Mus musculus: one gene and its partners. The protein of the gene in region 1 interacts with the protein of each later gene in a biochemical or structural test. Links are inferred from orthologs where the notes say so. Each region holds a gene or a part of one and is shown in the gene's direction. Other genes may lie near its edges.

Region 1 (7,633 bases):
ATGAGTTACATAGGCATAATGCCTATCTAAGAGTAACAATATTAATTTTAAATTTTGTACTAATATACAAAGATTTATACCAATGAAAACCTTAAACCTGTATCAATATATATAAATAGTGTAACAATGTAAGAATTAAAACTTCAATTTTGTATCAGATATAAAGGTTTCTACCAATGTAAGATTATGGTGATTTGATGCTTTGTTTAAGTGTAAATTTAATATCCTATCTCTATCTGTCCATTTGACTATATTTCCCCTTCCCTTTCCATCTTCCTCTCTTTACCTAAGAAGGAAGGATAGAGAAGAGGAAACGAAAGGTAGAAATCCCTGAGTCTAGGCTCTCTAGTTTCCTCCCTGTCCAAAGTCACACTTGTAAGTTATCCACTAAGATGACAATATATCTATAACTTATAAAATAGCCAGAACTATCCACTCCAACCTAAGGGACTGGGACAACAATCTTCTTTTGTTTGCTTCTAGCTAAATTGGGGTGAGGAATTCCCTTCTGGGGGCCCAAAGGGGAATAGGAAAATTGGTCTTGTCAAAGGCAGACTAGCTGGCATCATTTGCCTTTCGGTCTCTATGTGCTGAGAAAGTTTATGGCTTAGCTGAAGTCCTGACTGTAATAGTCTGAAAGGCTAGATGAGTGAATTAGCTGTTCTGAAACTGTCCTGGAAGCAAGTCTTTAGAGGAAACAGCTCCGATGTAGTTGAGGTAGAATCAAGCAAGGAGCTGGAATGGAAGGACCTGGAATCTCAGCGTCCCCGAGTGTGAATCTTGTCAGGGTTGTCTCTCTCCTCTTTCATTCTTCAGTATACAAACCTTACAAGCAACTCGTGGGCTCTGTAAAGACATTCATGTGGAACGTGCAGGGTGCACAGATTAATTAAGGAAGATCAATAAAGAAAGACAACTGCCTTTCTTCAGAGGTTAGTTTGATCACATAATCAAAATACAATATAAATAGCTATTCCTGCCATCTTAAAGGATGGTAGCTAATAAAAAGTTATGAAAATTTTGTGCTCAACAAGTGTTATTGGCTGTATATAGACAGTTATATCTCAGCAGGTCCCAGAGCTGTCTCTGTGTACAGAGTCATATATACATCACCACATATACATCACTTATCTTGTTGATCTTGTCAATCTCCTTTTGTCTGTAGCCAAGGTCTTTAGGGGGTTCTCCCCTTGTCATGTCTGATTTTTATCAACTTGGAAGGAACTCATAGCTTTTCTTTTCCTGTGGAAATATAGGCAAAACCTCTCCCCCAGAGTTAGAAGATCTTTAAAGTAAACAGGCTGGTCTAGCTCAGCGGGTTTTCCCCACAATCCAATGTCTTTCAGCAGCTATATTTTTTTGTTCATTACCATTTTAAAAATTTAAGGTTAATAAAACACTATGAAATCTATTTCTGAGAGTCTTTGTTACCCCCTTTTGTCTGATAAGCATCTCTTTTAGAGTACAATTAGATCTTTCCACAATTGCTTGTCCTGTAGGATTATGTGATACGCTTGAAACATGTTTTATATAATAATATGTTAAAAACTTTTTTCATCTTATTAGACACATATGTCGGACCATTTTCTGTTTTAATTTGTATGAGTATTCCCATCATGGCCACAACGTCTAACAAATGTGTAATTACAGAATCTGCCTTTTCTGAAGCTAAAGCAGTTGTCCATTGAAATCCTGAATATGTGTCTATTGTATGATGCACATATCTTAGTTTACCAAACTCTATAAAATGGAACACATCCATTTGTCAAATTTCATTTCTTTGGGTACCTTTAGGGTACTTCCTGGAGGTTAATGGAGTTTGGTTATGTAATGAGCAAGTAGGACATTGCCTCACAATTTCTTTGGCTTGTTGTCAAGTGATAGAGAATTCTTTCTTTAAACCTTTGTTGTTAACATGGTGATTTTTATGCAATTTCGAAGCCTCTAGTAGGCAGGTCTGTGGTGTATTTTCTTGGTCACGATTGATGTGGAAGGCCCTGCTCACTGTGGGCAGTGCCACTGATGGTCTTGGGTGCCACAGGAAGGCAGGTGGAGCGAGTTACGAGGAACAAGGCAGTAAGCATTGCTCCTCCATTCTCTGCATCCGTTTCTGTCTCCAGGTTCCTGCCCTGACTTCCCGTGGGTGATGGACTCTAAAGCTATAACAGTAAATGAACTTTTTCTTCTCCAGGTTGCTTTTGGTCATGATGTTTTTACCATAACAATAGCAACAAACTGAGACAAGCTCCATGACCAGGGGTTTCTCTTTCTTGGAAGTTGGTGTGGCTTTGTTTGTTAGTAGCTGAATGTTACTTGATGTTACCCCAGATTCACAGCTTCAGGAGAAAGGTAGACTTCTACCCTTCATTTAACACACAAAGACATGTAAAATACTCTGAGGAAGCAGCTTCCCGAGGCAGAGTGGCCAGTGATACAGCCAGGTTTCAATCTAGGAGGAGCCCGTGTTCCCAGCCAGGACTCTTACTATCTTCCTGCAGAGTCATCAACAATCTAGTCTAGCCTCTTTGGGGTTGTTCTACTGAACTCTGGTGTCTGTCCAATTTGTCTCCGCATTTTGTATGCACTTTTCCTTTAAGAGCCGCTTTTCTTGCCTCCTCCCCAAAGGTGTCTTGCCCTATTCCCAAGACTGTTAAGGCACCTAGGAGGTGACTATCTGACCAGTGGCTTTCTGTATATTCACCTCTCTAAACAAAAGCTTCCGAGAATCAGGAACTTCCTGTTTTGTTTCCTGTTATTATTCTCCATTTTTTTTCCTTCTAAAGTGTCTGGAATATGGTAGATGCAGTTAGTTTTTGACAGGAAACAAGCTGGTAGCTGACACTTAACTTCCTCACTTGATCATTAGCATCTTGTGTTGACCCAGGTTACAGCTCTTCTACCTCTTGATAAGAATGGATTTCCAGAGTTGTCTTTATGCTATTGCTGAAGAACTGGGCAGTGAAGACCTGGCTGCCCTCAAGTTCCTGTGCTTGGACTACATCCCACACAAGAAGCAGGAGACCATCGAGGATGCCCAGAAGCTATTTCTGAGGCTGCGGGAAAAGGGGATGTTGGAGGAAGGCAATCTGTCTTTCCTGAAAGAGCTGCTTTTCCACATCAGTCGGTGGGACCTGCTGGTCAACTTCCTAGACTGCAACCGAGAGGAGATGGTGAGAGAGCTGCGGGATCCAGACAATGCCCAGATTTCTCCCTACAGGTGGGTAGAAAGGCTGTGGTGGGGGGACTGGGAAGTGTGGGCTGAAGGGGGCATGCCCCTGTGACATGTGTGAAGTGACTTGTGAGACTGCGGGCTAAATGTAGGGGCTAAATACATAATTCAGAGAAACATGCTAAAGCCATAAAATAATGTATCTTTCATACAGCATGGTACAGAAAGGGACTTATGAGGAGGAAAAGGGATTTGGCTACAGGAGTCAGAGAGAGACCAGTGTAGGGGAATATGATTCTGTGTGGAGTAGTTACTTTGCTGTTGCTGTGGAAAAATACCACGACCAAAAGCAATTTATAGAAGAGTTTATGTTGGATTACAGTTCCAGAGTGCTAATGCCGGAGATAAGATGGTAACTAGCAGGCAGGGCAGCAGGGGCAGGGAGCTGAGAGTTCACATCTGCCATGCACACGGGAAACAGAAAGTGTGACCCGAAAGCTGGGTGAGGTCAAACCCCTCAAAGTCTGTGCCTGGTGATCATGATGTGCTTCCTGCTGCAAGGCTCTGCGTTCTAAAAGCTCCATAACCTCTCCAGACAGCCTGGGACCAAGTGTTCAAATACATACGCCTAGGAAGGACCCTGTTCATTCAAACCACCACAATGTATAATTTAAATTTTTCATTTTTCAAAGTGAAACATTACCTTCTAGTATGCTGATAGTGAGATTTTTTTAAAGATTTTTTTAATTTTTATTTTACGACATAGGTATTTTGTTTACCGATGTGTCTGTACAGCATTTGCATGTAGGCTTCCTGCAGAGGCCAGAAGAGGGCATTAAATCACCTGGACATGGAGTTATAGACAGTTGTGAGCTGCCATGTAGGTGTTGGGAATTGGACCTGTGTGCTTGGAAGAGCCATCAGAACTTTGTTTGTTTGCTTGTTTCACTATTTATTTATTTTTATTTATTTTACATCCTGATCAAAGCCCCCTCCCTTTTCTCCTCCCAGTCCTGCCCTCCCACCGCCCTTCTCCCTCCCCCACCCCACCACCTGCCCTGGCACAGTAAGTCACAGCAGGAGACTAAGTGCATCCTCTCTCACTGAGGCCAGACAAAGCAACCCAGGTAGAGGAAAGGAATCCAAAGGCAAGCAACAGAGTCATAGGCAGACACCTCCCTCACCTCTGTGCCTGCTCCAGTTATTGGAGAACCCACATGAAGACCAAGCTGCACATCTGCTACATATGTGGGGGGGCGGGGGCTAGGTCCAGCCCCATATGCTCTTTGATTGGTTGTTCAGCCTCTGTGAGCCCCCATGGGTGCAGGTTAGTTGACTCTGTAGGTCTTCGAGTGGTCCCCTTGACCCCTCAGGCTCTTTCAATCCTATCCCCCACTCTTCCACAAGACTCCCCGAGCTCTGCCTGATGTTTGGCTGTGGGTCTCTGAATCTGTCAGTTGCTGGATGAAGCGTCTCCGAAGACAGTCATGTGAGGCTCCTGTCTGCAAGCAGAGTTTCAAATAAGTATTTTAGCTCTTCCTCTTCTTTCTTGTTAAAGAAAGTTAAGATGACAGAGGTTTAAAATAGTCTGGGGACACTAAGGAGAACAAACCAGGATTCCAGCAGGCTATGTGGTAGCTGCTTCCACCAGCCAAGAAGGACTGGGCTCTGGAGAAACAACAAGGCATTGTTGCCCTTTCCCCCACGTAACCTGAGTAACTTTGTAAGTAGTCCCACATTTATACATGTTCTGATGTAGAAATTGTAATATCTGATGTAACAAATTGTAACAGACAGGATTGTGGGTAATGATGACTTCTAAGAGAGTCTCTGTCTATCAGGGAAAGGACCACCCAGCCTGCCCCTGGACTGGGCAAGGGGAGGGAAAATGGAGAAGTCTAGAGGTGTGCTCACTTTCAGGGATGTTTTCTCACCTCCTGAAATAAGCTGGAAATACTTTGCATTACACACGCTGCAGGGTGAATTCTCAGGAACTTAAAAACCGAGACTGCAGGCCTGGATCAATAAGAAGGCAGATTCACACATCGGTGACACACATGTATCTTGGTGGCTCACATTTAAAGACACAGAAGGGTTCCATATGCATACACAAGCAGGTGGGAAGGGTTGTCACTGTGGGAAGCAGCAAGACCCTAACCATGAACAAACACATCTTGCCCAGCCTGGAAGTGGCCACCTTCTGTAACCAGGCAGGACTTCCAGTGGAGGGATAGAGACGCCAGCCCACCCACAGAATTTTGTCCTGCCTACAAGATGTGTTTGTAGTCTGGGGCCCCTGCACTCAAACATTACACCTCACAAATCTCAGGTTAATGAAAAGTGAAAAAGGCATGGGCCAGGCTGTTAGGGGACTTGGCAGTTTATAAACAGGCTGTTGCCATATGTGAGTTCTTTCAGGGGCGGGGGTGGGGGGTGAATGAAGATTTAGTGAGAGAACAGAGCCCCGAGGACTCCCTGGCAACTAATGAGATTGCAGGTGGGCAGTGGATGCATGCAAGGAGACACAGGGAATGTATGGTGGGGAGAGCACACGGCAGCTGGCTGTGTTGAGAGCCTTGGGTGTTGGTAAGAGTGGAAAGAGGTGTGTGTGTGTGTGTGTGTGTGTGTTCAGAGTCCCTTTTATTCTAGAACCAAATATTCAGCCTCCTCCTGAAGGAAATTGCTGAGAGAACATGGACCAATGCTTAGAAGGGAGTCAGCTCTGTTGTGCACCATGGAGAATATAATTCCCCCAAATCCTCGCATCTGGATCTTGATTTTTATATCGACATAGGAGCAGGGAGATTCTTTTAGTTGAAGTTAGTTGGTTACAAAGGTGGTGGCACTTCGCATGGGTGGGTTGGTTGGACCTGACTCTATAGACTTCCACCAGTCAGGAATAGTTGACTATTTTAAGGAAGCCCTGGGAGTGAGCCCTGCTGTGACTGTGTAGTGGTGGGAAATGATCTAGAACGTGTTTCTAAAGTGCCTCTGTTTCCTGCCACAGGGTCATGCTCTTTAAGCTCTCAGAAGAAGTGAGCGAGTTGGAATTGAGATCTTTTAAGTTCCTTTTGAACAATGAGATCCCCAAATGTAAGCTGGAAGATGACTTGGTAAGACCTAATCTCCTGAAGATGGGTCACCTCTGGGGTTTCTGAGACCAGAGAGCCCTGCTAAACATAAATAGTATTCAAGGTTGTGATGGTGTTGTTGTTGTTTTGAAACATGGTATCCTATAGCCCAGGCTAAATCCAAACTTGCTATTTAGCTGTCTTCATTAGAGTTTTCCTGCTGTGAATAGACACCATGACCAAGGCAACTCTTATAAGGACAGCATTTAATTAGGGCTGGCTTACAGGTTCAGGTCCATTATCGTCAAGGCTGGAACGTGGCAGCGTTCAGGCAGATATGGTACAGGAGGAGCTGAGAGTTCTACATCTTCATCTGAAGGTTGCTAGCAGAATACTGGCTCCCAGGCAGCAAGAACAAGGGTATTAAAGCCCACACTTACAAGGCCACACCTACTCCAACAAGGCCACACCTCCCAACAGTGCCACACCTCCCAACAGTGCCACTCCCTGGGCCAACCATGTACAAACCATCACTGTAGCCAAAGTTGACCCTAAACTTCTGATCTTCCTGCCTTTATCTCCTGTTAATGTGGTTCCAGGATGTGGAACTCAGCACTTTCTGCACCGTAAGCAAGCACTCTGTCCACTGAGCAGCCCCTGTCTTCTCACTAGAAGAAAGTAGTTAGATAGGAACAGGTAGGTATGGCTCTAGTGCCTCTGCACAGTGAAGTGTTACTCGGCCACAGGGCCGAGCCAGAAGCCGGAGAGAGCAAGTTGTGCAGTTCAACAATACATGGGACCCAGCAGGGCCAAGGAGAAAAGGTGGCCCAGGGTCACATTTCCCTACTTCTGCTGCCCTTGAAACACGGCGTGTTCGCCCCCTCTCACTCCATCCCGGTGTGTATTATGTGTCTTTATGAGTAGGTTGTATGATGTGTCTGTGTCTACATGTTGTGTATATTGTGGGTGTTTATGTGTGGTGTAGGTGCCTGGGTATACCTCTGTGTGGCTTCTCTGTTGGTCTGAGTATATATGTGTGTGATACCTGTGTGTTGGCGGGGGTTGGGGGTTCTCTCACTCTGTAAATCAGTGTGTCTCTGTGTGCTCTGTGGTAGATGGCCTAAATTTGATGTATGCTTTGTCCAGATGTATCTCTGTGCGTTTGCTTAGGGTACCCGTGAACACAAGTGTGTGGCATCTTTCTGTGTGTTCGGTGCATATGACTCTGTGTGTATTAACTGAGGTTTAGAGAAAGCTAAGGTACCAGGGGCAATACTGGGGAATAATTCAGTCTCTAGGATTGGCCCATCCACATTCCTCAGGCTGGTCCATAGCTGAAGGCATTCTCATACTGGTTGAGAACAAGACCTGGGGACTGGGTGACACCTGACAT
Region 2 (3,995 bases), on another chromosome or scaffold:
TACAATGCAGCGGGCCAGTCTGCCGTCCAGGCGGGCAACATACACAGACAGGAAAGTTCGGCTTACCAGGGCAGCAGAATGCAGGGCCAGCAGCCCTGTTTCCCGGCACAAGACTCGGGGGAACAGCAGCCTCAGGAGCGCCAAGAGCCGCTGCAGGAATACCCGGTTCATGCCAGCCTTGGTTGCGGTGGCTCCAGAGGCCTCTTGAGTGGGCTCCCCAGCTGGCACCTGAGGACCTCTGGCAGGAGTCAGACACTGCCGTACTAGAGGGTAGATTTTGTGGACTCCATAGGCTGTGAGGGCCAGGACCACAGCTGTGCGCTTCAGCGTGGTCACCCGTGAGGGCCGGGGAGTGGAGAGCACCGGCATGTCACCTGGACTGGTGAGCAGGCTGAGGGCTGGAACTGCTGCCTGAGGCTACAGTTGCAGACAGATCCTGGAAGGGTTGTTGCTCTGACCCAGGGCTCGTTGTCTAGGCAACTGGAAACCTTGAAGTGATCCCTGAGACTGTTGCTTTAGGCCCTCGCGGTGGTGCTGGGGCCCCTGGATCGGTTGGGTTAGAATCCTCCAGGGTCGTGGCCTCTTCAGGCAGCCCGGGTGGAGGAACTGGCTTCCCTCTACAGACTGTCCCCTTAGCCCCTGAGGTCAGAGCCTCGAGAGGTCTTAAGGAGAGAGGCTGTGTCTTTCCTTCCACCTCCCTCCTCTTACTGCTCCTCCCCCCCCACCCCCCGTGACGCCCCTCCCCGGGGCACCAGGCGTGTTTGTCCGCTGAGCAGCCCGGCAGTAACGACAGCGTCTACGCCAAGGCCCAGAATCCCCACCCACCTACCCCTCCCCAGGGGTGGTGATGGGGAAGAGGAGGCGGAGTTGAGGCAAGAGGCGGAGTCCGAGTTAGGGGTGCCCCACCCCGTTCTCGCCCTACCGTTGGACCCCTCCCCCTCTCCGACAACAGAAACGAAGCAAGTCCGCGTACACTACAGAAGCGGCCCCAGCCCTCCCGCCAAGGCGCCTCCAAGCTCCACCCCTGCGTGTCCGAAGTGTCAGAGGCGCGGCAGGGGGCCTTCAACCGTCAGCCTCTACTTCCTTTCTAGACCTTGGCAACAGGCCGCGCCTAAGGGCGGGGCGGGAAACGACAATGGGCGGAGCCGTTAGGGGCCTCTAGAGGACTTGTAGGCGGGGCCTGACGCGCGTTTCCGGTTTCCGCCCGCGGGCTAGGGGGCGGGCCTGAGCATTGGTGAGAGTTTGGTAGTTGCGGTGGGGCGTGCGAGTAGGCTGAAGCTCGGTAAGCTGGGTCCGCATGCATGGCTGACTTTCGGACCAACGAGGTTCCCCCCCAGTCCCTTCATGAGGGAGGAAGGCGAGCATCCCAGAAATACTGTGGGTTCTGGGAAGTGTAGGGATCCGGGCCGACTTCGGAGTTTAGGGCAGGATCAGGCATAGGGATGTTGTGGAGGTAGGTGGAGCGGGACTCTAGGGGACGCGAGGACAGGGGCCAGTCCTCCCCACCCCCCCCCAGAAGAGCTGCCCAGGTAGGCCCAGCTCCTCGAAAGCCACCTGGCGCTGTGGACTTGGGCGTTGTGGCTTGCTAGGGATGCAGGGAGGTCCCTTTTTTGGCTTCGGGAGAGACTTTCTGGTTCTGGAACTTTCTCTGGGTAAGGCCTGGACGTGCTCTGTGGAGACCTGTATTTGCTTTTGGCCTGGATTCCCGCCCTCTAGGAGTCGCTCTTGTGGGCCTTTTGAGAGTAAATGGAGGCCTACACCCTGTGCATTCGTGCGAGCATTCGGAAGGCCTATCTAGTTTTCAAAAGCAGCTTTAGAAGGAGGCTGGAGGCTACTAGGGTTATCAGCCCCTCATAAGCTCTGGAGGAAATGGGCCTGCTTTCTTGTGCAGAGGCTTAGGTGGTGGCGTTTGCAGAAAATACATGTATGAACACTGCAGTCCCAGTCCCACTGTAGAAGCGACTGGAAGACATGTATAGCTCCTGGCAGCAGAGGCTTCTACTCTTGGAAGGAAGCCTAATGGGTGCTGAGGTCCTTCTGTTTACGTACTGTTCTTTTGAGAAACATTTTCTTAAACAGGTCTAGCCTTACAAGGGAGCCTGATGGGTGCTGAGAAGGTTCTCCTATTCTTATGAGAAACATTTTCTTAGTTAAACAGGCTTAAGAGTCTCTTGGACGGCCCCGGGGAAAGGAATCATGAACAAAAGTACCTAGTCATAGTAACATACTTGCTGGAGGGGCACAAGTAACTGTCCCAGGCAAGGGAAGTTTGTTGGCTGGCTAGAATCATTGGTCAAGTGTCTGCTGTTGGGTTAAACCCTGTTTCAACCAGGGTTTCAAAAGCTCTGAAGCAGAATCCTGTGGTCTGTTGTGAAGAATAGCAGCCCCAGCCTCTCCAGGGTCCCTGAGCAGTCCCTGTCAGTGACTTTCCAGCTCTCATGGTTCCTCCTGTTTCTTCTGTATCCTGCCAGGAAACAAGCTCCCATCCCTCTGTTGGAACCCTTTAAGTCACAGGATGAGTTTGCAGTGGACTACAGTTGCCACCTTCCTCTACGCAGAGGTCTTTGCTGTGTTGCTTCTCTGCATTCCCTTCATTTCTCCAAAAAGGTATGGCTAGTGGAACAACAAAGCAAGCATATGATGAGGGTGCTATCAAACCCTGAACCTTGTAGTTTCTGTGTGCAAAATTGGTGGACCCTGAAATTGAGGCTATATGGAAACAAGTAAAACCTGTCTTGAGTAAGGGTGTCAGGAGTATGATTTTTTTTTTCTTATCACCAATCTTGAACATTGTCTGGCTTTGTCACCTCGTCATTTGCTTTCCTGTGCACACTGTCTTCTGGTTTTTGCAAAAGAAGATTTGACTTCAACTTTTTTGAGTAATATTCTCTTGCCAACCCTTGGGCCTCAGGGCTGTAGGGGATAATTGTGTGGAAACTTGAATACTTGCACCATTGGCTTACATTGTTGCCGATTTGCTGACTTTTGACCTCCTAGCTAACTCCTACTGGCATTGCTTAGTAGGCTCATGAGCATTACTCAGCCTATGAAGGATGGAAGCTATAGTCCCTTTTAATAAAAAACAGGCTGGGCGTGGTGGCGTACGCCTTTAGTCCCAGCACTTGGGACGCAGAGGTAGTGGATTTCTGAGTTTGAGGCCAGCCTGGTCTACAGAGTGAGTTCCAGGACAGCCAGAGCTACACAGAGAAACCCTGTCTCGAAAAACAAAAAACAACCCAAAAAACCAGGATTTGCTAAACGTTATTTAGATATTGTTTCAATCATTTGTAGTATATCAACACTATTCGTATTTAAATTAGGATTTATAAAATTGCCATAGTTAATAATACCTAAGGAATATTCTTGCTAAAACCCACATTGACATTTAGTTCACAGGAAATACAGTGACCAAAACGCTGGTGGAACTGGAGTCTTGGATACTCTCTAGGACAACTAACTTTGTTCCACCACTTAGGAGGTGAAGGCAGGGTTAGGAGTTCAAGACCTATCTTGGCTACATAGCAAATTTGAGGTTAGCTTGAGCTAAATGAGACCTGGTATGAAAAGGAAAAGGATTACGGAAATGGCTCTGTAAGTAAAATGGTTGCTTGAACAAGTATAAATTCAAAATCTGAGTTTGATCTCTATCATTGATGTAAAATCTGGACATAGGAACACACTTCTGTAATAGAGTGTGGTAGAGGCAAAGATAAGGAGGATCCTAGCCAGTCTAGCTGAATCAGTAAGTTCTAGGTTCAGTGAGACCACTGGGAAAAAAAGAAAGTAGAGAATGATTAGAGAAGATAACCACTTCAAGCCCACACACTCATGCATATGCACAGGTACAAACACACAGAAAAATTGAAAGGAAAAAAAAGCAGGAAGGAGAGACTGATTAAGACCAACTTAAAAGCCGGGCGTGGTGGCGCACGCCTTTAATCCCAGCACTCGGGAGGCAGAGGCAGGCGGATTTCTGAGTTCGAGGCCAGCCTGGT
Region 3 (7,990 bases), about 110 Mb from region 1:
GCAGAGGAAGGTGGATTTCTGAGTTCAAGGCCAGCCTGGTCTACAAAGTGAGTTTCAGGACAGCCAGGGCTATATAGAGAAACCCTGTCTCGAAAAACCAAAAATAAAATAAAATAAAATAAATTAATAAAATAAAATAAAAAATAAATAGAAAAAGAAAACGGAAATAAACGAATTGCTTAGGAGTGGGGAAAAGTAATTTCTTTTTTTTTTTTTATATTTATTTTTTACGTAATGTCTAAAGGCAGAAGGGGGCATTGGATCCCATTACAGATGGTTTTTCAGCCACCATGTGATTGTTGGGAATTGAACTCAGCCCCTCTTTTGTTAGTTTTTTTAAAAAAAGATTTAAAATGGTTTGAGACAAGGTCTCACTGTGTAGTTTTGGCTAGCCTGGAACCTCATAGAGATCTACCTTCCTCTATTTACTGGGATTAAAGCTGTATACCACCATTCTAAAAACCAGAAATTTAATTTTTATTTAGTTATTTGTGTGACTGAAGGTGCCTCTTGAGGTCTCAGGCCAGAGCTGGAGTTACAGGTGGATGGAGCCTATCCCTGTGGGTGCTGGGAATTGAACTTAGGTCTTCTGGAGGAACGGCTGGTGCTCTTAACCATTAACACCTCTAACCCCTTTGAGACAGGGTTATGTTATTTAACCCTGGCTGGCCTAAAACTCTGTGGAACACTAGATTGGTTTCCCATTCACAGAGATCCTCCTGAATTCTAGGTTCAAAGGGGTACACTGCTACACTTAGATATTGTTCTGTTACTATGTATATTTTGTTGTTGTTTCTGTAAGACTTGAGAATACAGACCAGGTTTTCCTGGAATCCGATCCTCCTAACCTTAATCTCCTGAATGCTAGCTACAGGCATGTACCTCCATGCCCAGCAAATCGGTGTTTCAGGGGACTAAAAGCAGTGTTTTGGAGACAAGAGGAACATTTGGATAACATTTAAAAACCAGCCAACCAACCAACTAACTTTGAGACAGTTTCATATAGCCCAGGCTGGCTTTGATCTTGCCCTGTAGCTGAGGATAGCCTTAAACTCGTGAGCCTCCTTGTGTTTACCTCTCAAGTGCTGGGGCTTTAGGCAGCTTTACCAGACTAGCTTATTTTGCTTTTGAGATAGGGTCTACCTTATATCTCTGACAGGACGAAACTTGCTGTGCAGATCAGAATGGCTTCAAACTTAAGGGTAATTCTCCTGCCTCTGGCTCCTGAGTGCTGTAATTATAGGTGTATACTCTCATACCTAGCTGCAACAGAAACGTCTGACCTATGCAGTACTAAAATCACAAAGCATTCTCACTCCAGGATCTGACTGTATCCCTTGTAGGATCTTGACTCAGGGCATCGTCTGTTGAGTATGAAAAGCATTTAGCATTGTTTTGTTTTGCTTTTTTGTTGTTGTTGGTTTTTGCTTTTTTGAGACAGGGTCTCTGTAGCCCTGAGTGTTCTGCCACTCTGATCTACTTGCCCCTGCCTCCTGAGTGCTGAGATGAAAGGCGTATGCCACCACACCTAGCATAAACACTTTATGATATTTAATAAACATATTAAGCTGAGCTTCATTAGTAGCACGTTAAGATAATAAAGATAAATAAAATTGGTGGCTACCAGTGGCCCCATGGCTCATGGGGTCTTGTCTTATCTTACAGATCACTGGAGATTGCAGCTGCTGAGCAGAGATTCTGGAAAGCACTCTATTTCTGAGCCTCTAGCATGGCGGGCCTAAAGAGGCGGGCAAGCCAGGTGTGGCCCGAAGAGCGTGGGGAGCAAGAACATGGGCTCTACAGCCTCCACCGCATGTTCGACATCGTGGGCACCCACCTAACACACAGAGATGTCCGAGTGCTTTCCTTCCTTTTTGTTGATGTTATTGATGACCATGAACGTGGACTCATCCGAAATGGACGTGACTTCTTATTGGCACTGGAGCGCCAGGGCCGCTGTGACGAGAGTAACTTTCGCCAGGTGCTGCAGCTGCTGCGCATCATCACTCGCCATGACTTGCTGCCCTACGTTACTCTCAAGAAGAGACGAGCTGGTGAGGCCTTATGGGGTCTGGGGACACACGACTAAGAGAAGCTCTGTGGGAGGCCAGGAGTGAGTAGTGCAGAGTCTACAGGGCGGGGCGGTCTTGACCTGGGGAATACCTAGGAGAACAGAGATCCTTTGGGAGAAGAAAGATATGTACTTTTTCTTGAGTGACTCCTTCTCCTCCTGCAGTGTGCCCTGATCTTGTAGACAAGTATCTGGAGGAAACATCAATTCGCTATGTGACCCCCAGAGCCCTCAGTGACCCAGAACCGAGGCCTCCCCAGCCCTCTAAAACAGGTGAGAGGATACTACTTGTAATTTTCATAAGCAGGAGAACATTGTTCCCATCACATGTGTGGCTGCGCCAACATCAGTGACGGGATACAGTCCCTCTCCATCCACCCCATTAAAGACATTAAAGTCCCTGTCCATTAAAGACAATCAGGAGCTGGGGAAATGGCTCACTCGGTCAAGTGCCAGCTGCATACTCATGAAGACCTGTGTTCAGGTTCCCAGCACCCACACAGAAAAAGCTGGGTAATAAAGTGTCTGCAATCTCAGGGTTGGAGGCAGAGACAGGTGGATCCCTGGGGCTCATAGAGGCAGCCAGCCTTGGCACACTGCTGAACTCAAGGCTCAATGAAAGCCCTGGTCTAAAGAAAGATGGTGAGAGGATTGAGGAAGACACCTAATGCTGACCTCTGACCTTTACATGAGGCACACTCACATAGGAACACATCTATGTGAACATGTACACACATAAAGCAGGTGAAGTATACTTTGTCTAGGTCTAGTGTTTATTCTCCTTTTAGGTTACTTTTTAAAAATCAATTTATGTGTAAAAGTATACTGTCTGCATGTAGGTTAAGCCATCACTCCAGACCTTAGGTCAGTTTTTAAAAAATTTTTTCTGTATGAATGTTTGCCTGCATATTTGCTTGTGTGCCTTGTGTGTACCTGGTGCCTGTGGAGGTGAATCTGGGTCCTCTGCAAGAACTACACGTCCTCCTAACCACTGAGCCATCTCTGCAGCCCCAACTTTTATTTTTGGGACTTCCTATTTAGCTTGGGTAAATGCAGAACCCTGTGTAGGCCAAGATGGCCTTCCTTCCTTAGCCTTTTTTGTTTCTCTGTTTTTGTTTTTGTCTTGTTTTTTGAGACAGGGTTTCTTTGTGAAGCCTTGGCTGTCCTAGAACTTACTCTGTAGATCATACTGGCCTTGAACTCAAGAGATTCCATTACCTCTGCCTCTGCCTCCCAAGTGTTGGAATTAAAGGTGTGCACCACCACCTGGCTTCCTTTCTTCACCCTTAAGTGCTCAGATGATAGATTTCTTCCACCATACTTAGTGCATGCCACCTGCCACCCCATTGCTAGGGCTGAGTCCAGATATTCATGAATGTTTGACAGACATTGATTATTGGGCTATACCCCTCAGCCTTCAGGTTATATCACCAATACTTTTATTCTCAAGTCTAGATGGTTCCTTTGTCTATTCCAAATGAAAGATTTGAAGTTCTACTTGTCAAACCGTGTTTTCCCACCTACTTTCTGCTCAGTGCCTCCCCACTATCCTGTGGTGTGCTGCCCCACTTCGGGTTCTCAAATGTGTAGTAAGCGGCCAGCCCGAGGGAGAACCACACTTGGGAGCCAGCGAAAACGCCGGAAGTCGGTGACACCAGACCCGAAGGAAAAGCAGACATGTGGTAAGGAAATTCAGGGACTTTAACGTTGTAGACTTGAGGGAAAATATAAAGAACTCCTGGGATGATGGGCAGTCTGTAGTTCAGTGCAAGGCAATCTTTGCTGTTTTCAGGTCAGGTTTAGTTTTCATGAGAACTGTTCTTTTCAGCAATGGTATATTACAAATCTTTTTAGTTACTATTAAAGAAATGCCAACGTCATTCTTATATAGGATGAACCAAGTCAAGACAGAATTAAAGTAAATTTGTGCAACTTTTTAATAAGACAGGTCTTCTAACAAGGTGCTGTTTGTGAGTGGCCTGAGCAGAGTCATTGTAGGGCATTGTAGGGCAGCTCCAGAATTGAAACCAGTGACACAGTGAAGAACTAGTTCTGGGGAGAGGTAAAGAAGCTGTGAGAAGAGGGAGGGTCTCAGCCTTGCTTGCTTGCTTTTCTAGCTTTGGTTGTAAACACAATCCATTATAAACCATGCTCCTTAAAATTCTCCCAGATATCAGGCTCCGAGTTCGGGCGGAATACTGCCAGCATGAGACGGCTCTGCAAGGCAATGTCTTCTCCAATAAGCAGGACCCACTTGAGCGCCAGTTTGAGCGCTTTAACCAGGCCAACACTATCCTCAAGTCCCGGGACCTGGGCTCCATCATCTGTGACATCAAGTTCTCTGAGCTCACCTACCTCGACGCATTCTGGCGAGACTACATTAATGGCTCATTATTAGAGGCACTGAAAGGTGTCTTCATCACAGACTCTCTCAAGCAAGCTGTGGGCCATGAAGCCATCAAGCTGCTGGTGAACGTGGATGAGGAGGACTATGAGCTGGGCCGACAGAAACTCCTGAGGAACTTGATGCTGCAGGCATTACCCTGACCTTTCCCCTTCTCACCTTTCTGGGGACTGTTCGCTCCGTCACCTCTGGAGCTGACATACTGTTCTGGGGTTTGTTCTCTACCCTTTCCAACCAATCACACCGCCTTTTTTTTTTTTTTTTTTTAAAAGGAAAAGACAAAGGAAGGTGGAAGTGGTGTCCCTGCCCTCCCTGCACCCATGTGCCTGGGCTTCCCCGTTTCCTGTTGCCACTTACCCTATTGTGTGTCTACAGCCACCTTACCACTGAGCCGTAAGACAAGTGTATAGGGACAGGGTCTCTGGAACACAGCCTTTGTAAGGGATTGAACACTGCTTTCAGGTGCATTGAGGGGTAATCAATACTTATGGCTTTATGAGGGCTCTTAAATTTTGTCTGAAAAACCAAAGGGCTGTGAGTAAAGGAGCTATGTGGAAGGTGGGACTCTGAAGTGTATTTTGGAAATTAATTACCACCTTCTTCCAAATTATAGAATTTTTTAAAAACAGAGAAGCTGTGGCCCTTTGCAGTCTCTCCTGGCCTTGGTGCTGCTCCTCTCTGCCTTTCCTTCATTCCACAGCGGGAACTGCTGTCGTATGGATCCCTCCTTGTCCCTGTCAAATGTTCAGCAAACTTACAGAGGACTGGGCCAGCCTGATCGATCACCCTCCCAACTGCGATGTGTATGTGAACACCAGTACACAGGACAGTGGAGTAGAGGCTGCTAGTTGGAGCACACTTTCTCTGAAGAGGAGGAGGGGGTGGGGGGTATGACATTTTCCTTCCCTTTTCCAGTGAAAATAACTCTTACCCCACCCCAAGGCCCTTTCCCTTTGCTTCCTTCTTGCTTGAGAGAAAGTGGGGTATTTAGTATCAGCTCCTCCTGTTCCTCTGCCCTCCCTTCTCCCATCCTTTGGAGAGCAGGACTAGTACATGCACTGAGCACCGCACTTTCTTAGGTAAGGAGGCATGTTTGAGGCAGGAGGCTGAGGAGTGAAGTCCAGTCAAGCAGGTACAATTCCACCTCCCCTTCTAGCCCCCAAAAGACATGTCCAGACATTATGATTATTATATTTTTTTTTCAATGCCAGTGCTGCTCAGCCCTCAGCATAACTTCAGTTTTCATGAAATAAACAGTGACTATATAAAATCCCACTTTTCTGAAACTGAAATCTGAGGTCAGGTCAAAGTCTCTTCTTTCCCATGGACTTGATTAAGCCTGTGTTCCATTAAGAGAGGTTAAAGTTCTGCAAGTGAAGGGAACCGTGCTTGTGTCCTGCCTACAAGTCACAGTAGCATCACCTCCCAGTTGGCTGTGTCTGTGTCTTAACCAACAGAAGTTAAAAGCATTAAGAGAGTGGATGACCCAGACTGCCATAGAGGTCAGGTCTGCGGTGCTGGAACACAGGCAGGTGTTGGCGCATCTGTTGTAGAAAGTGGAGATCAATTCGAGCAAGGCAGAGGCCTGGTCCCTCGGAGCAGCGGGCCACCACTGTGCCCCACGGGTCAACCACCATGCTATGGCCATAACTTGCTCTTGTTTCATGGTGGCGTCCACACTGCGCTGCTGCTATTACATAGCACTGAGATTCAATGGCGCGGGCCCGCAGCAGCACCTGAGGATGAGACGTGCGTTGACTCCAGAACATACAGCGTTTAATAGGCAAGTGACAAGAAGCGGGCACTGTGGGCCCAATCTTCTCACTAACCAACTAGAGTTAATAACTAACTCTTTAACATGACTCACACCTAGCTAAGAAATGAATTTCCTCACCAGATGAAAAGGAAGAAAATCAAGTAGAAAGGAGGAGTGTTTGTGTTTTGTACTTTTGAGATAAGGTCTCCCTGTGTAACCCTGGCTGGCTTAGACCCACAGAGATCTGCCTGCCTTTGCCTCACAGTGCTGAGATGAAGAGCATGCACCACCATGCCCCACTCTTTGAAGGTGTGGGTTGCTTTTTTGTTTTTGAGACAGGGTTTCTCTGTGTAGCCCTGGCTGTCCTGGAACCCACTCTGTAGACCAGGCTGGCCTCAAACTCAGAGATCCACCTGCTTCTGCCTCCTGAGTGCTGGGATTAAAGGTGTGCACCCCCACTGCCCAGCTTCTATTTTGTTTTCTTTTTTAGTCAAGGCATGCTGGCTTTGAACCTGTGGCTATCCACTGAAGTGCTTGGATTTAGGTTTGTACCACTCTGCTCCCACTACTAAAAGTAAGGTTAAAGGAGGCCTATATGTTATGAAGAGGCATTCTCTTACCTCCCAGTGGGCTGGACCTGTAACAGATCCAAAGGCTGAAGGATAAGTAAGTATTTCTGCCCCAGCTTGAGCCAATTTCAAAGAAAGTTCAGGGAACCGCATGTCATAACAGATTGCTAGACCAACCTGAAATGAGAAACAACCCACTCATCTTCCCTGTCCCATTCAACAGAACACTGAGTGCCTTCATTAGCCTGCACCAATGGGGGGTGTTACCACTTTTCAACATAGTCCCATTTCCTTTCCAAACTCCCACCTTGCCAGCCGGTGTCTTGACAGGTGGCTCAAGAGTGCCTCCAGGCTTGGTATAGTTGCTTTCTCTCATCGGCCCCTGACCTGGGATCTCTACATCGCACAGATGTGTCTTCCTGTAACTGGCCACTACTGATCCTAGAGAGAGAGAGAGAGAGAGAGAGAGAGAGAGAGAGAGAGAGAGAGAGAGAAAATACTCAGTACAGACACTCTACAAGTCCAGCTTAGCTCTTCTCCCAAAGAGTAACTTGTAGGCTGAGAACAGAAGCATAAAACCCCAAGGCCAAGCAGTTGAGAAAGAAATGCTGAAGATCTGAGTTGAGGAAAGGTAGAGAAGCCTGGGAAGAGGCAAACTAAGGGCTATGACGTCTCACCCTTGCTGTTCAAAAGCACATGACAATTGTAGATTTTCTGATTCTGCTCCCAGTCTTGGCCACGCTCGTGGAAACCGCCCAAGGACAGCCAGATTCCACATTCCCTGGGGGGGGGGGGGGACACGACACACACAACTCTACCCCCTCTGTGGCAATCCAGGAACACTGCTCAACAGGGAGTTCTACACACACAACCCCCCCCCCCCCAAACCCTACCCTTGTACCTGGCAAGCTGGCTATATTGGCCCAAAAGATCCCCATTCAGTGGTTCGGACAGGAGTAATGTCTCGGCAGGGTTTCGTGCAATAAAGTCAAATGCCTCAGGCAGAAAGGCCAGGCAAGCACCCAGTCTGGCAGCCTCTTGAACCAACTCAGCACATGTTTTAAAGTTCTCTTGCTTGTTTGGTGTTGATGTTACCTGGCACACAGCCACCAGGGGCAGCTCCCAGGAAGTTGATGAGGACATGGTTCTGGGCCTGTGAATGACACAGGCAGTATCCTCAGATTTTCTAT

What was found.
Region 2: of the proteins of Casp8 (region 1) and Bcap31, one has a biochemical effect on the other in vitro, tested with the Homo sapiens proteins (2 studies listed by BioGRID, with this or other methods). The link is inferred for Mus musculus from reciprocal best matches to the Homo sapiens genes CASP8 and BCAP31.
Region 3: the proteins of Casp8 (region 1) and Dedd form a complex in vitro, tested with the Homo sapiens proteins (2 studies listed by BioGRID). The link is inferred for Mus musculus from reciprocal best matches to the Homo sapiens genes CASP8 and DEDD.

What each region holds. Positions count from the first base shown.
Region 1 is NC_000067.6:58,821,031-58,828,663, forward strand, and holds part of Casp8 (caspase-8), read left to right. Parts: intron 1-2,884; coding exon of another isoform or gene 2,885-2,912; coding exon 2,913-3,217; intron 3,218-6,176; coding exon 6,177-6,282; intron 6,283-7,633. UniProt on the Homo sapiens protein: Thiol protease that plays a key role in programmed cell death by acting as a molecular switch for apoptosis, necroptosis and pyroptosis, and is required to prevent tissue damage during embryonic development and adulthood.
Region 2 is NC_000086.7:73,713,405-73,717,399, reverse strand, and holds the start of Bcap31 (B-cell receptor-associated protein 31), read left to right. Parts: upstream 1-1,195; 5' UTR 1,196-1,282; intron 1,283-2,471; 5' UTR 2,472-2,515; coding exon 2,516-2,607; intron 2,608-3,995. Other genes in the region: Abcd1 (ATP-binding cassette sub-family D member 1), read right to left, coding at 1-369. UniProt on the Homo sapiens protein: Functions as a chaperone protein. Is one of the most abundant endoplasmic reticulum (ER) proteins.
Region 3 is NC_000067.6:171,336,587-171,344,576, forward strand, and holds the end of Dedd (death effector domain-containing protein), read left to right. Parts: intron 1-1,665; 5' UTR 1,666-1,729; coding exon 1,730-2,054; intron 2,055-2,236; coding exon 2,237-2,344; intron 2,345-3,606; coding exon 3,607-3,753; intron 3,754-3,984; exon of another isoform or gene 3,985-4,241; coding exon 4,242-4,618; 3' UTR 4,619-5,915; downstream 5,916-7,990. Other genes in the region: Nit1 (deaminated glutathione amidase), read right to left, coding at 5,945-6,211, 6,852-6,977, 7,108-7,241, 7,478-7,581, 7,702-7,953. UniProt on the Homo sapiens protein: A scaffold protein that directs CASP3 to certain substrates and facilitates their ordered degradation during apoptosis. May also play a role in mediating CASP3 cleavage of KRT18. Regulates degradation of intermediate filaments during apoptosis.